2 linked regions of the Rhinolophus ferrumequinum genome follow. The protein of the gene in region 1 purifies or fractionates together with the protein of each later gene. This does not show direct contact. Links are inferred from orthologs where the notes say so. Each region holds a gene or a part of one and is shown in the gene's direction. Other genes may lie near its edges.

Region 1 (7,223 bases):
TTTGTATACACTGCAAAAGGATTAGGACAGTAAGTGTAGTTAACATCATCACCAGAGTTACAAAGTGTTTTTTGTTGTGATGGGAACTTTTAAGATCTACTCTCTTAGGAACTTTAAAATATTTATGATTATGATAATGTACTTCCAATTGTCTTTCACTGATGTATTTCTCATACTACAGGAACCTTTGAGTTAGCCTATATCTGATTTATGTGTAGGCCATGATTTTGGAAAGTTGAGAGGCTGGATGGTTATCAGTTTTGTGATGAAACAGTGTAACATTATCCATTCTTTTTTTTTTCCCCCAGAAAAATATCCTCAATTTTAATGTTTAAATGATTTACATTTAATAAAACACTCTTATTTAGAGTTACATTAGTAGGTCTTGCACATTCATGTTTTTACAACCATTTGTTAATTTTCCCAGTCAGTCCTGGCATTTTCTGAAGCTCTCTTTGCTGTCTAAATCTTTTTGATTACCTAAAACTCCAAGTGATATTTATATTTATTTGCCCTTGAAATCTTTACAACCATTTGACAGTATGTGCCTGCTAACCTAAAATAAACATGTGCTTTTATCACTAAGTATTTGAGATTTTAGGCTCTACAGGAAACTGGCAGAACACAAACAGATCATCTTCTGTAGTAAATCTAGTCTCTCCATCCACCTAACCAACCTGTTACTTTCCTTCTCATACCACTCCTCACACAAAGCCTCTACTCTCCTATCCCAAAAAATGTGCCAGACACTGAATTCCCCCAAACCTCTACACAGACGCCCTGCCATTAAGTCCCTTTTCCATCTACAATATGGAAAGGCTATCCCAATTCTATTCTTACTCCAACTTTCAATTCAAGAATTATGTAAAACAAATATTTACTAAGTGCCTTCTCAAGCATTCCATTTTAAATAAAAGTTATTGATTTAAAAAAATTTGTTTTGTGTGATCCATTAACAGCTGTATCAAATCTCCAGTGGTTTCGGAATATCTGATAAGAATATCACATGTAATACTAGTTTTAGTAAAAGAAAGAAAAATAGATCATGTTGACTTCACTCTATCATTGTAAACAGTCATGTTGGATGTAGAGTACGTATATGATATTGAAGGTATAAGAAAGAATTATGCAACTAAGAAAATATCACCTATGATCATACTATGATCAAAAGCTATACTGTAAGGTTTTTTTAATGTATCTTCAAAATCTTTGTGCAAAATGGAAAGAAAACTGTATTTCCTTGATGAAGACATTTATAGAGATTACAAAGAGGTTTCTTCTGAAATGCAAACTGTCTGCTTTCCAATGTTACCTCCTGTCATCATGGACTGGAATACAGCTCCCATGTTTTCCAATCCGTTTATCATAGTTTCTTTGATCTTTAGCTTTCCTTCTTTAAACCACTGACTCAGCTGTAGAATACCAGACTCAAATTTGTCCTTATACAACACCAGAAATCTTTCTCTTGTGATGTTCCTTTCTTTCCGGATTGCTTCTATAGCAGGGGTTAATGGAAGAGGATAAGGCACATCTTTGTTGTACTGAGAAATTTGACCACACAGGACAATGTGGCTGATCTGATTCATCTGCCCAGCTAAAGATCCACAAGCACCAGCAGCCCCACTAGCAACCATTGTCTGATTAGATCCAGCAGTTACATGATCTTTTCCCTGTATCCCAATCAAGGAAGTCAAACCAGGCATACCTACGGCCCCAAGAAAGTATGAAAGGTGTCCATCCACAAGTTGTGGGTCTACCTTTTGAAGGTTATTTCCATCTAGGATAACCTTGGTTTGCCTGGGCCAATAAAAAGAAGTCACAAAATCACCTTTAGTAAAATTTGTGTGTTTGCTTTCTTCTATAATCCCAACACCTCCACCAACAACCACTTGATACAGTTGCCAACGTGTTATATAATCAGATCCAGTGTCTTCATTCATTCTACAATGCATGTAAGGATCCACAGAAAGATAAAGAGTTCTGACTTGTAATTGTCCTTCATTGATATTATCTGGTAAATTTACTTCTTCTACTCGGAAATTTTCTGCCACTGGATTACCATTTTTCCCAACTCGGGAATTCAGTATCACTCTTCGTACAATCATCGCCTTGTTTGCATAGGGATCGCACAAGATTTCTGTATAAAATAATTCCGCCACCGACCTCAGAAGAATATCCATTATCCATTCTTATTATTAGGCCACTGCTTTTCCTAATTTAACCATCGGCCTATATTTATATGACAAAGATTAACGTGCTAATTTTTTGCAAAGTGCTATAGGGACGTGACTTTTGCCCCCGCAAAAAAAAAATCACTCAAAAATCACTTCACTATAATTTAAACAATCAAGACTGTGTCTGAAAGGGATTGAGAAGCTATAGTTGACTGTCTTAGGCCGGATTTCTTTGAGGCTGACCCTCAAAGCACTAGATGGAGGAAGCCGGTGAGGTGCAGAGGCAGAATGAGCGAGCAGGCAGTAATTGGGGTTCAGTCTTGCAAGGAAATGCTGGGGGGTGTGCAGAGCACACTGCCACACCCCCAAGGACACTTAGCCAGGAATCCCTGGTCCCCTTAATTGAGTGCTACTTCCAGGGGCATTAGCTAGCCCTTTCAGGCCTAAGTCCAGGACAAAAGCCCTTAAGCAGAGTTGTGGCTGTGGAGTTTCTGTGCCAAGGGACAGAACTATCCCTATAGCTAAAGATTTTTAAAACCCTTGAGCCACCCAAGCCTTTGTATCAGGACCTCTGCATGACAGTTCATAACAGTTCACTTCTTTAAGCTTTCCCACTAATCTTTCCCAACAGGAAATCTGAACGTTTTCAACAGAATTTTCGTATCAGAATTTTTTGTCTCGCTGTTCTGCATAATTTTTGATTGAAGTAAGGTATGAAGTATTGAAGCATGAAAAATTGGGTTCTATGTCTGGTTTGGTTGTGTGCAGCAGAGCAGGTCCTCAAATTACAACTTTCCCTCCTTACCGCTAACTGGATTCTGAGCAGACCTAACCCCCCACCCAGCGTCCCAGGACAGCGTCTTGACCACAAGCAGCTGGAGCTCAGGTGGAGGTGAGGGTTAGGATTGATGGAGATACGTTGAGTCTGTGGGTCCATCCAGAAAGGGAAGTTGGGGATGGGGACAGGAATGTTTGAGATTACAAAGAGCAAAGTATCTTGGCCATGGTGGGATCACTGCAAGGTGCCTGAGAACGTGTGGGAAAAGCAGGGCTGCTATTGCCCTCAGTTTCCTAATTGAGCACGTATCTATTAAATGGCAGGGTGAGGGTTTGAACTTCCCATGTAGGCTCAGTGCATTCATCTGAAAAGACTGTGCCTCCTGTTCCCCAGGTCAAAACTTTGTTAATTCCTCAGTGATTTTTCCAACACCCAAGGGTATCTCACTAGAGCAGAAAACTTTATCAGCAACTTATTTTCCCAGTGCGGAGCACAGAGCTTCAAATTTCTCATTTTGTGTCATGAAATTCTTAAACTGTTGATTAAGTTTTGCTAGGAGGAAGCTCGATGATTGGTGTAAAGCTGAGAAAGAAAGTGGGTTAGCAGGAAGTAAAGGCTTAAGAGGTAGGAGGAGTACGGTGTTGGCGAGTTCCCAGACTTGGAGAATAGGAGACGCGCGAGGCACAAATTATGGATGTGTGCCTGACTAGTTAGTGTTTTTATGATGCTCGCCTCTGTGGAGGCCGTATGCACAGCGGGAAGTGGGACATCTGCAGTCCGCCACGTGAATTCTTAGTGCCACCCCTTACTCCCGACCTCAGAGAAGTTACCTGATCCTTCCGCCGAGCAGAGGCGGTTGTGCGATTCCATGTGAAAAATACATGTGAAGTACAGGATGCCCCGCTTACAGCAACCCCTAAGTGTGGCCTAAAGAAGCACAAATGTTCCAAACGGGAAGGAACAAAGACTGGGGCACAGAGGACGACGCTTTAGGTTTTGGGAAAACGTACCGAGTCCCAGGGCGTGCGGAAGCTGAAAAAGGCCGGCATTGCCGAAACCATCCGCCACCGCTCTCCTACAGCCTGAAGCATCCCTCGTTGACTTTGTTGGGAGCTGCAGGCTACGCAATCTCTATCCAGGGGCCGCGAGGTCGGCTGGGAACGCGAATACGTCACTTCCGTGATTCCAGGCTCTGATTGGTCAGAACGTCCCGGCACTTCTGATTGGCCAGGCTCACTGCCATCCCGGGGTGCTTTGCGGCGCCATTTCTTTTCCGGTGGCTGTTCTCCCTGGGAGAAGGTGGGTACGCTCTAGTCCGGCGCCGGCGGAGGCCTTCGAATGCCATCGGGCTCCATCCGCCTCCATCGGCGTCGGATCCATGGCGCAGACAGCACTGGCCTATGGCCGAGCTCTGTGGCCGCGCCCAAGGCGGGCTGCACGCGGCATCCGCCCGGAACCCGAGCCCTGACTTGCTTTCCTCTGCAGGCCGGTAGGCAGCAGCCATGGCGCCCAGCCGAAATGGCATGATCCTGAAGCCCCATTTCCACAAAGACTGGCAGCGGCGTGTGGCCACGTGGTTTAACCAGCCAGCGCGGAAGATCCGCAGGTGAGCGGGGCTCCTGGAGTACACGGCCAGGTAGTGACAGTGTTCGGAATCGGTGTTCCCTGTGTTGCAAGTGCGCATGGACCCTTTGCCATGTCATAACTGCAGCACTTTCAGCTCCACTGGAGAGCCGACGTGACCTTATGATTGGGGGCAAGTGGGTGGGGACGCTGGGCTTGGGGTCGCTGGCGGGCGGGGCCGTCTGCGCTCTCTGTCCCTGCTTTGGCATTAGGCCGTAGACGTCACACCCGAGGGGGGAGACAAGCTTTGGGGTACGGTAACTGCTGCCTGGTTTCTGTCTGCTCAGACGCAAGGCCCGGCAAGCCAAAGCGCGCCGTATCGCTCCGCGCCCTGCGTCGGGACCCATCCGGCCCATCGTGAGATGCCCTACTGTGAGGTACCACACCAAAGTGCGAGCCGGCAGGGGCTTCAGCTTGGAGGAGTTACGGGTGAGTACTCGCAAAACCTCGTTATCAGAAGCATACGTTTTGTCTCTTGGGCTCACAGTCAAATGATGACATTCTCCGGAATCGCTGTACTGCCTTGATGAAAGTACGTTTGAACCCTTTTCCATCTGACGACTGAGCGATTTTATTAAGGTATGGAAATTAGAGGCTTCTTGGGGCTTCATTTGTGTCTGTCTCTGGGGGCAGGTGGCTGGCATCCATAAGAAGGTGGCCCGGACCATTGGGATCTCAGTGGATCCTAGACGGCGAAACAAGTCTACTGAGTCCCTGCAGGCCAACGTGCAGCGCCTGAAGGAGTACCGATCCAAGCTCATCCTCTTCCCCAGGAAGCCATCAGCCCCCAAGAAGGGAGACAGCTCTGTGAGTACAGTGCTCCCAGCTCCTGGTGGGGCAGAGGGGTGGTCAGGGGCGTGGGGGTCTCTGAGAGGCTGCCCAACCCCAGCATGTGGCTTTCCTTGGTTCAGGGGTAGTTTCTGTAGCTGGGTCCAGCTGGGGTGAGAAGGAAAGCATTTGCCTGTAACCTTTTTATCCCCCAAAACTTGGCCTTCATATGGGCAGTAGAGAATTGATAATGAGCGGAAAGCTCCTAAAAATTTATAAATGAATCAGAACCGCCAATATTCACTCACGTGCTCCTCAAATGTGATGTTTCTGTTTTGTAGGAATGGTAAAAGTTGTTTGACTTGGACCTAGTTTTTTTACATTGAAAGTGATTTGCTCTCTAAAACGCTTTACGTATGACACAGATATTTCTAGAAGAACTTTTGGAACAAAGTTGATAGTGTCCATCCATCCATACAGGCTTCTCTGGAGTTGGGTGGGGAGTGGGTTTACACTTCAGTTGACGTTTTGCTTTATCTGCATCTGTTCAGGTATACGTGCACTTTTGCAGCTGCCTGTGACTGTCAGCTAGATAGAATAGGAATCTGGTGCCATGCCATTACTTGGCACATAGACCCACATAATGTGTGCTTGCAGTTGCAGACACCTAGCCCTTCCAAGCACACGGTCACCCAATGTGAGGTGGGGCTGCCTTAGAGGGTTATAAGCTTGGGGCCCTTACGTAAATGAGCTGCACCCATTTGACTCGCCCTTCTCGTGAACAGGCTGAAGAACTCAAATTGGCCACCCAGCTGTCAGGCCCGGTGATGCCCATACGGAACGTAAGTGGAGGTGTTGGGAGGATGTACAAGGGAACGTGTGTTGAGGTGGAGATTGACTTGGAGGGAGTAAAGGGTGGCAAGAGCACCCTGTCTTCTAAACAAATGGACTCCTCAAGGGAAGGCCGTATGCTCTTTTTTGGGGAACCCCACTTGTCACTCCTCTCTTTGTTGGGTCCTTTTTTCCTTCTTGCTAGTTGGAAATCCCAGGCCACAGGTAATCTCAGGGCATGTTTGATGATTCTGTAACCTGCCCATCAAGTGATTGGGCCCTTGAGGTTCCTCTGGGAAAGGGGATCTATTCCTCGGTGGCCTTTGTGTAGCCTTTCAGCATTACTCTTTTTCCCCCTCTTCTTCCACTTCCCCCCTTCCCCTCCGGTTCAAGCCGTTGTTTCTCAGTCTAGTGTAGGATGCAGCTCCCTGGCCCATGCTGGTATTATGAGCCTTGCGCTCCCCCCGGCTGAGGCAGTCGTCGGTCGGCAGCTCATGGCAGCTCTCGCCGGCTGCTGGCCACTCACTTCCTCAGCACTACTTGATCTCTTTCCAGTACCTCTCTGGGTTTGCTGATGTTTGGGTCCTGGGCCTCGTTACAGGCCTCACTGCAGGCCAGGGTTTGACTCCTTGTACTCTTTCTAGGTCTACAAGAAGGAGAAAGCCAGGGTCATCACAGAAGAGGAGAAGAACTTCAAGGCATTTGCCAGCCTTCGCATGGCCCGTGCCAATGCCCGGCTCTTTGGCATCCGGGCAAAAAGGGCCAAGGAAGCTGCAGAACAGGATGTTGAAAAGAAGAAATAAAGTTCTGTTGACAATTTGTGATAAGTCTGTAGTCTCCATTTGATACCTGTCTGTAAGAACAGGGTAGGGGGCCTCAGCTGGGGTGAGGGTGTTTTTACAAGGCAGGCCAGAGACAGGATTGCATCCCCCTTTCTATATTTTAGGACTATTGTTTGTCCATAATAGCATTCTGTGGATAGTTTACAAATCCCATTTTTTAAGTAGAGCTGCCTATTTTAATCAGAGCAGTTTGTAGTTATTTTGGCG
Region 2 (7,845 bases), on another chromosome or scaffold:
TGGGCCTTGCAGCCCCACCTGGGCCCTGTGAGCCCCACCTGGGCCCTGTGAGCCCCACCTGGGCCTTGCAGCCGCACCTGGGCCCTGTGAGCCCCACCTGGGCCCTGTGAGCCCCACCTGGGCCCTGCAGCCCCACCTGGGCCCTGTGAGCCCCACCTGGGCCTTGCAGCTCTTGGCCCCACTGCTCCATAGACAGCTCACATACCAAAAGGAGCAGAGTGGACGTGGTGACTCTGAAAGTTCATTTCTGCCCCAACTCAATCTAAGGCTTTCGCTGAGTCATTTGTTCACTGATTTGTTCATTTGCCCAACACAAACTTGAGTGCCTACTGTGTGCCAGGTATGGACCCTGGGGGTGGGAGGGGAGCAATGAGCAAGCAGCTGAAGAAGACAGAGTCTGAGCTCTTCCCTCGGCACACAAAGTCCAGCGTGGGGGTCAGAGGTGACCACGGAACCCCCGTAGGTGAGGGTTAGGGTAGGAGTAGCTGACCACCTCGGGACACAGGGAAACTGTCTCTGAGCCAAGGATGGGTTGGTCAGGCAGGAAGCAGGAGAGTGTTCCAGTCAGAGGGCACATGAGGAGTCAAGGAGTATGAGACCCACGTGTCCTGAAAAACCCAGGATCCGTTGGGGGTGGGGCGGCTCCAGCTGGGCTGAGGTGAGTGTGAGCAGGTCTTGTGTCCCAGGCAAGGCTTCCCTGCCGGTATGCAGGCCACAAGGAGCCACGGGAGGATCTGAAGCAGGACAATGCACGAGAGGTTTAGGCTTAGAGCCAACTCTGGCAGCCAGGAAACTGCAGAGGACAAAGGGAGGGCCTGGCTGGGCTGCACTGGGACTGTGGCCACAGGACGCAAAGAAAGAGACCAGGCAGCACCCAGGTCTGACCGATGGCGGCTGGCTGGTGAAGGAAACTGAAGAAGAGGCTTTGGGTGACCTCGCAGCATCTTTGTGCTGACCTTTCACCCAGCAGATGGGCAAAAATGAAAACCCGAGATGGGTCAGTGAAGCAGAGGGTATGGGGCACAAGCCTAACACGGAATGTGAGCACGAGCTGGCACAGCTTTTAAGGCTGGAAACGCGGCATTATGTGTTAATGAAAACAAAATACTTACACACTTTCCCTAAGCAACTTCTAGAATGATATTCTTGTGAAACACTTGCACAATCCTGCAAACACACCCACACACACACACACACACAGAGGAATATCTGCTATAGCATTTTAGTAGTGCAAAAATTGTACGTTTTAAAAAGGAAACAAATATTCTCCATTAGCAGATTGGTTATGTAAATTATGCTCATAAAGCCATTGAGAAGAGTGAGGGGTCCAGAGTCAGTGATCTGCAGGTTCCAATCCTGACTCAGTGGGTCTGGGGAGGGCCTGAGACGCCACTTGCTAACAGGCATCCAGTGGCGCTGCTGCCAGGACCCAGATCACTGACGGGGAACAAGACCTAAGCTGTACCACCCAGAGCAAGATGGAAACTGCAAACAGTGTAGCCTATTTTGGTAACAAAATCACAGTAACGCAGGTTAATATCTGCATGATAAATCTGATAAATTTGTGGAAGGAAGAGCTTATGGAGGACTTCCCCTTTCTACATTACACACAGATAACTATAATATTTCCATTTTTATGGTGAGCAAATTATTTTTGTATCAGAAAAAAATAGGGACGGCCCAGTGGCTCAGGTGGTTGGAGTAGGGTGCGCCGAGGTCGCGGGATCAATTCCCACATGGGCCAGTGAGCTGCACCCTCTACAGCTAAGATTGTGAACAACAGCTCCAGGGCATAGGCCAGGGAGCTGAGTTCTACACAACTAGACTGAGAAATAATGCTTGAACCAGAGTCAGGGGGAGGCGGAAGAAGGGTGAAAAAGAAAAAAAAAATTAAAGAAAAAAACAATATTTTAAAATAATCAATCAATAAATTAATGCATTGAAACAAACAAACAAAAAAGCCTGTGAACCTGGGTTACGGACTGTGTCCGCCAAGTTCCTATGTTGAACCCTAGTCCCCACAGTGACAGCGTTAAGTGGTGGGGCCTTTGGGAGGTGATTGGGTCATGGGGGTGGAGCCCTCAGGATGGGATCCAAGCACGGTGGGAAAGGGACCCCTCCCTCTCCCTCTACCCTGTGAGGACACAGCCAGAAGGTGCCCCTTCAGACAGGGAATCTGGTGCCTTCATCTCAGCCGTCCAGCCTCCAGAACCATAGGAGAAAACATCTGCGGGTTAAGCCATGGTTTGTGGTATTGTTATAGCAGCCTGAACGCACTAAGACACTGAGTTAAAAGGTCACACTTTAAATTGTATGTCATATGACTCTTAATAGATCATTCGTGCTATTATTTTTAAAGAGCTGTCAGGCAAAGCCCCAACCAACAATTTTTCCTTGCTGGGGGACAAGTGTCTGATGCAAGAGCCTCTGTCTGCGCGTCGTTCCTGACCGCCTGGGTCAGCGCTGTAAGCAGCAGGACCATCTTTCCCAAATGCAGGTCAATGTAGGTCACTCCCCCCAACTCTTACCCGCTTCTCTCCTTACAGCACCGGCTTCCCACTGCTCCCCAAACAAACACAAAATGGAGCACCAGTGGCCACCCCTGTCACTCCTGGCCCCTGCCAGCCTCTCCAAGCCCGTGTCTTGCAGGCACAGGCACACACAGGAACACACACACACACACAGAGCACACGCCTGCACGCTGGCCCGGCGACGTGCACATTCCCTACACGCTCATCAGCCCCTGTGTCATCAACGTTCTTTTATGTTTGCTGCCAGATGGTAGTCTCCTATTGCCCCAGCCCAGCCCTTTCACCAGGATTGGAGAAACAGAACTTCCTCTCCATCAACTGGCCAATGCCTGGCGAGGCCTGGGGAGAGGTCCTGAGGAAGGGTCCTTGAGAGGATCCTGGGGAAGAGGCCGTAGCAGTTTGCAGGCTTGGAGGTACAGGGCTCCTCTAGGGGAGAAGCAGCCAGAATAACTGCCAAAAGCCTCCTTCACATTGGGATCTGAGGACGAAAAATATCCCCAAGATTTGCCCACATCAATCCCCCACAAAGTCTTAGAAGTTGTGACTTCAGAGACAAGAAAATCCCGCCCTGGGGAAGCCAGAGCGGACACAGCATCCAGGGGTCAGAATGTGAGCAAGCAGAGGACTGGCGGGAGCCAGGCAATCAGGAGGGTACTGGCATTTACTGAGCAGCTGCTATGTGCCAGAACCCTTCTAAGCACTCTGTAGGAGGAAATGAATTTTACCTGTTTGGTTCCTGTTAAATGGGATAGTAGCAAGGGGGACTGACTCCCTCTCCCCAATTACCCCCAGAGAAATTACTGAATGAGAGAGAGGCGAGGGCTCCAGGGTGTGACAACAGCAGTGAGAACCCTGGAGGGACCTGGGTTCTCAACCCTGGGGGCGAGGGTGCTGAGTGAGCAGCGGCACTGTAGCACTGGAGGTGGACACAGGCCAGGATGAGCTTTCTCCTCCGGCTCTTGCCTCTCCCTTCCACAGCCCTGCACGCTCATCCACAGCCCCTCCGGGTAGAAATCAGCCAGCCCCACCAGCCAGGGCACAGAGCGGAGGTACTCAGGAAGGCATGGGAGGGCTGGCCCGGGCACCCCTCCTCCTGCTTCTCACCCCCAGACAGCTGGGAGTCCCTTGGTCCCCTGCCCTAGGAGAAGTGGTCTAGGCAGGTGGGCGGTGCCTGAGCGCTCCACACTGGACCTTGAAGGGCCCATTCAGCTCTCACCTCAGCCTTTGAAATCAAGGTGCGGGCAGGATTGGCTCCTGGGGCTGCAAGAGAGAATCTGTCCAGGTGTCTCCCTAGCTCCTGGTGGCGACCCGCAACCCTCGGAGTTCCATGACTTGTAGAAGCATTGCTTCCATCTCTGTGTCGCTCCTCACGCGGCCTCCTCCCTGCAGAGTCCAAACTTCCCTCTTACCAGGAACGCCTGTCATTGCATTTAGGGCCCGCCCCCACCCAGGAAGGCTTTCTCTTAACTTGATTACATCGGCAAAGGCCCTATTCCCAAATAAGGTCACGTTCACAATTTCTGGTACACATGAATTTGGGGACACTAATCATCCCGGTGCAGTCCATCAACAGAGGAATAAAGAGGGGACCAGCATCCCAGGAGAGACCAGCAACCGGAAACAGAAGGTGAGTCATTACGCAGCACCAGAGACATCTGAGGCCTGAGGTTGAGTGCAAAACCAAGTCCCAGAACAGTAAGTTCAGCATGGAGACCCCGTAAAATACACGCAGGAAACAACATGACACACTTTCCTATGGGATATGTGCACACCCACGTAAATGTACATATCCCATAGGAAAGATTCACGCCCTGCCGACAAGTACGGTTACTTCTGTGGCAGGGCGTGAAGAGGCTTCTTTACCATAATCTGTAGGGTTTTTGTTTTTTTTTTTCAATTATTAAGTGAGAACGTGTTTGCGTACTCACATGAACTTCAAATAGGCGCACTTGCTGCTGTGCGGTTCCCTGCGCTGCCGCCCACCCGCCAGCAGGGGGCGCCGCTCCGCCCCGCCCCGTGTAGCACGGAAGTCCCGCCCCGGACGGAAGTCAGCGTCGGTGCGTCCCGGAAGATGGCGGCGTCCACGAGTGTTGGAGCGTCAGGCTGGGGCGGCAGCCGGCGGCGACCGGCCCGTAGTAAGCGCGGAAGCGGGCGCGGGCTGTCCCGCGGGCCTCGGGGCGGCGGGGCGGGGGTCCTGAAGCGGCTAAAGCTGGCCGTGGAGGAGTTTGTGCAGGCGACCTCCGAGGGAGAGAGCCCGGGTGGCCGCGAGGGACTCCGCGCGGAGGGGCGCCTGCGTCCCGGCGGGAGGAAAAGCCGCAGGGAGCTGAGGAAGGAGAAGCGACACCTGAGGAAGGCGCGCCGGCTGCAGAGGACCACGGGCTCCGCGCGGGGTCCGGGCCCGGGCGGCGGTGACGGAGCCAGGGGAGCGAGCGATCCCCGGGCGGACGGGGTTCAGGAGGAGGGCGTCCAGCCGTCCTCACGTCGGGCCCCGCGGCCGCCCGAGCGGCTGCCACCCGCCCAGGCCGAGGGGCTGCCACCTCCCCGGGCCGAGGCCGCCCCGGCCCACGCCCAGGCCAGGGGACCGCGCGGGAGGACCAGGCCCTCGGCAGCCGCGGCCGCCGCCGCTCGGAAACGGGCACTTCTGGCAGCCAACGAGGAGGAGGACCGAGAGATCCGGAAGCTGGAGCGGTGCCTCGGCTTGAACAAGCGCAAAAGGAAGGACGACGCCAGCTCCGTGCCGCCTAGCTTTGCCCGCGATGGACTCGACTACATTCTGGGAGTCCTGGGGTCAGGGGACAGCAGTGGCTTGTATGAAAGCAGCAGTGAGCAGGAGGAAGATGCCACCCAGACACTCCCCGAAAGCGATTTGGAGAGCGACACCGAGGACGGATGGGGAGAGGAGGAGGGCGGGGAAGAGAAGGACGAGCCGCAGGTAGACGCGGGAGCGCGGAGCGAGGAAGAGGAGGAGGAGGAGGAGGAGGTCCAGGAGGAAAAGCGAGAAACCCAAGAAGCAGAGGAGAGAGCGAGGGAGAAGAGGGAGGGAAAGAGAGTCCGTTTTGCAGAGGATGCAGAAAGAAGTAAAAATTCCTCGGAGGTTGTTGGCGCAGCGCCTCAGGTACGGTGTGAACACCTGGGTCCTCAGATTCCCCGTAGAAAAACGGGAGGGGGCGGGGCGTGGGGCAGAGGGGGCACAGTTGATGTATTGGTAATTGTGTGAGCTGAGTGCGGAAATCGGCTTATTCTGTCTACTTTTATGTTTCTAAGTTTCCGTAATGAGTTAAGGGAGGAAACTTCTCTAGAAAACTATGTGTCCCAGCGACTTAATGGCCACCCCACTGTTGATCATCTGGGGGACACTGAGCAGTGGGTTGGTTTTGATTTTATCATGTAAATTTGGATGTTACTTTTGAACAAGCTTGAAATTCTTTTAGAGTACTATCCCTCGAAAACCAGGGGTACATTTAATTTAGGGGTTTGTGTACATCCTTGCCTGCGGTAAACTAAGCCCAGACAGACCTGTGGAATACAGGGCTCTGCCGGCAGATCCTGGAGGGGCACAGCAGGTCTGAAGAAGTGCAGAGGGACACGTATTGACGCCAATGTAGGTGGGGACTCCCGCAGACTGCTGAGTGGAGTAAGCCCAGCACTGTCCTGGGCACTCGGTCAACATGTGACATCTATAGAGCAGACATGGTCAATAGTTACAGCTTCTGCCAGTTTGGGGGAAATTAACATGTAAAGGTGGTTATAGCGAAGGAAAAAGTGAGATTTGTTCAGTGTACATTTTTTGTAATTTATTTTTTGTCTTTTCAAGCAGAGTCTTTGTGAAAATGGTGACAGGTACATCCCACCCCATGTAAGGCGGGCTGAGGAGACAGTGGATGCCCAGAAAAGGGAAGAGCGGGAACGGCTGAAGAAGCACGTGCAGGGCCTAATTAACAGGTAACCTCACAGCGTCGTCATAGTGCGTCTCTTAAAGACGTCTGTTTCCTGGAAATACAGAAACTATCCCAGGAATTAAGCTGGAAGTGAAGGGGTGGGGCTGTTGTTGTGATTGGCGCCTTTCTGTTCCCTTCTTGACATCGCTGGACCTGGACAAGCAGGATGTCCACCTTTGCTCTTTGGTACTTTGAACCCTTGAGCTTGAGAGCAGCAACAGTGCCCACGTGGATGTCCTGACAAGTCCCAAAACAGGGGTAGCAGGCTACCCTCCTCCCTGCGGGGTCGAGTGGGGGCCCCACGGTGGGCTGCCATCCCCTTTGCTCATTCTCCATCTGCGTCACACCAGAGGCCCTGGGTCCCCACCCCACAGCCAAGACAGAACCGTCCCGGCACAGGACGGTTCTCTCAGGCTATGCTTATGGTCACGCAAACCGCCCTCCCACTGCTTTTTTAAAAATTTCTTTTTAGTTAAAACACTGTTCCCGTGGTACAGCCTGGATTCTACCGAACAGGCCATTCGGGTGCACAGTGTGAGCACAGGCACAGACGCGGTGTGTACGCGGTGTGTACGCTTTGTGCACAGATGCCCCCTCCCCCTAAGCAGGGCAGCCTTTTCTCAGCGTCAGGCACTGCAGGTTTTCTGCCAGCGGGAAAATGGAAACTAGAGGCTTTCCCAACAACGCATGCTGATGTGCAAGTATGATTCCCGGCCTCTGCCTGGGGACAAGGGTCAGCTCCCCGGGGGGCATCGTCAGCACAGTCTGTGGTCTTACAGGGAGTCCTGCGTGTCCTTCGCTGTGGGGCGCTTCAGCTGGAGAGACGACAGTCGCACATGAAGAGTCCAGAAGTGTGTGTGTTGTGTGCGGTGGAAGCTGGGTCATTAGGGCTGGGTCAAAGCCAATAAGAATTGTTCGCAGGGCAATGTGTACACAAAATAGGACGTGTTGGTGGTACTGATAGCTTTTTCACTTATTTCAGTTGACCTGAAAGTCATTCCTCTTTTGAAACGTCGTGTGGCTGTCTTTTCAATCGTCTGCAGGTTGAGTGAGCCCAACATGGCCTCCATAAGCGGACAGCTGGAGGAGCTGTACATGGCGCACAGTAGGAAGGACATGAACGACACTCTGACGGGTGTCCTCATGAGCGCCTGCGCCCCGGCCACGCCCGTGCCCAGTCGCCTGGTGATGGAGCACATGCTCTTGGTCAGCATTCTTCACCGCACCGTGGGAATCGAGGTAGGGCTCTGTCGGGGTCTAAACGTGCTTGTCTCCGTGACAGACCTCGGAAGGCTCGGTACGATCCGGTCTGTACCCCATCATCCGTGGCCACGTTCGGGGAGCCCCTGGTTTGGGTCAGCTTCCGCTTCTGTGTC

The links.
Region 2: the proteins of RPL13 (region 1) and NOM1 purify together in Homo sapiens (co-immunoprecipitation; 3 studies listed by BioGRID and IntAct, with this or other methods). This does not show direct contact. The link is inferred for Rhinolophus ferrumequinum from reciprocal best matches to the Homo sapiens genes RPL13 and NOM1.

The regions. Positions count from the first base shown.
Region 1 is NC_046298.1:34,032,116-34,039,338, forward strand, and holds RPL13 (60S ribosomal protein L13), read left to right. Parts: upstream 1-4,165; 5' UTR 4,166-4,251; intron 4,252-4,437; 5' UTR 4,438-4,454; coding exon 4,455-4,558; intron 4,559-4,862; coding exon 4,863-5,004; intron 5,005-5,067; exon of another isoform or gene 5,068-5,151; intron 5,152-5,208; coding exon 5,209-5,382; intron 5,383-6,128; coding exon 6,129-6,185; intron 6,186-6,818; coding exon 6,819-6,977; 3' UTR 6,978-7,001; downstream 7,002-7,223. Other genes in the region: prostaglandin reductase 2, read right to left, coding at 1,263-2,180. UniProt on the Homo sapiens protein: Component of the ribosome, a large ribonucleoprotein complex responsible for the synthesis of proteins in the cell.
Region 2 is NC_046309.1:961,465-969,309, reverse strand, and holds the start of NOM1 (nucleolar MIF4G domain-containing protein 1), read left to right. Parts: upstream 1-4,602; coding exon 4,603-5,646; intron 5,647-6,345; coding exon 6,346-6,473; intron 6,474-7,512; coding exon 7,513-7,708; intron 7,709-7,845. UniProt on the Homo sapiens protein: Plays a role in targeting PPP1CA to the nucleolus.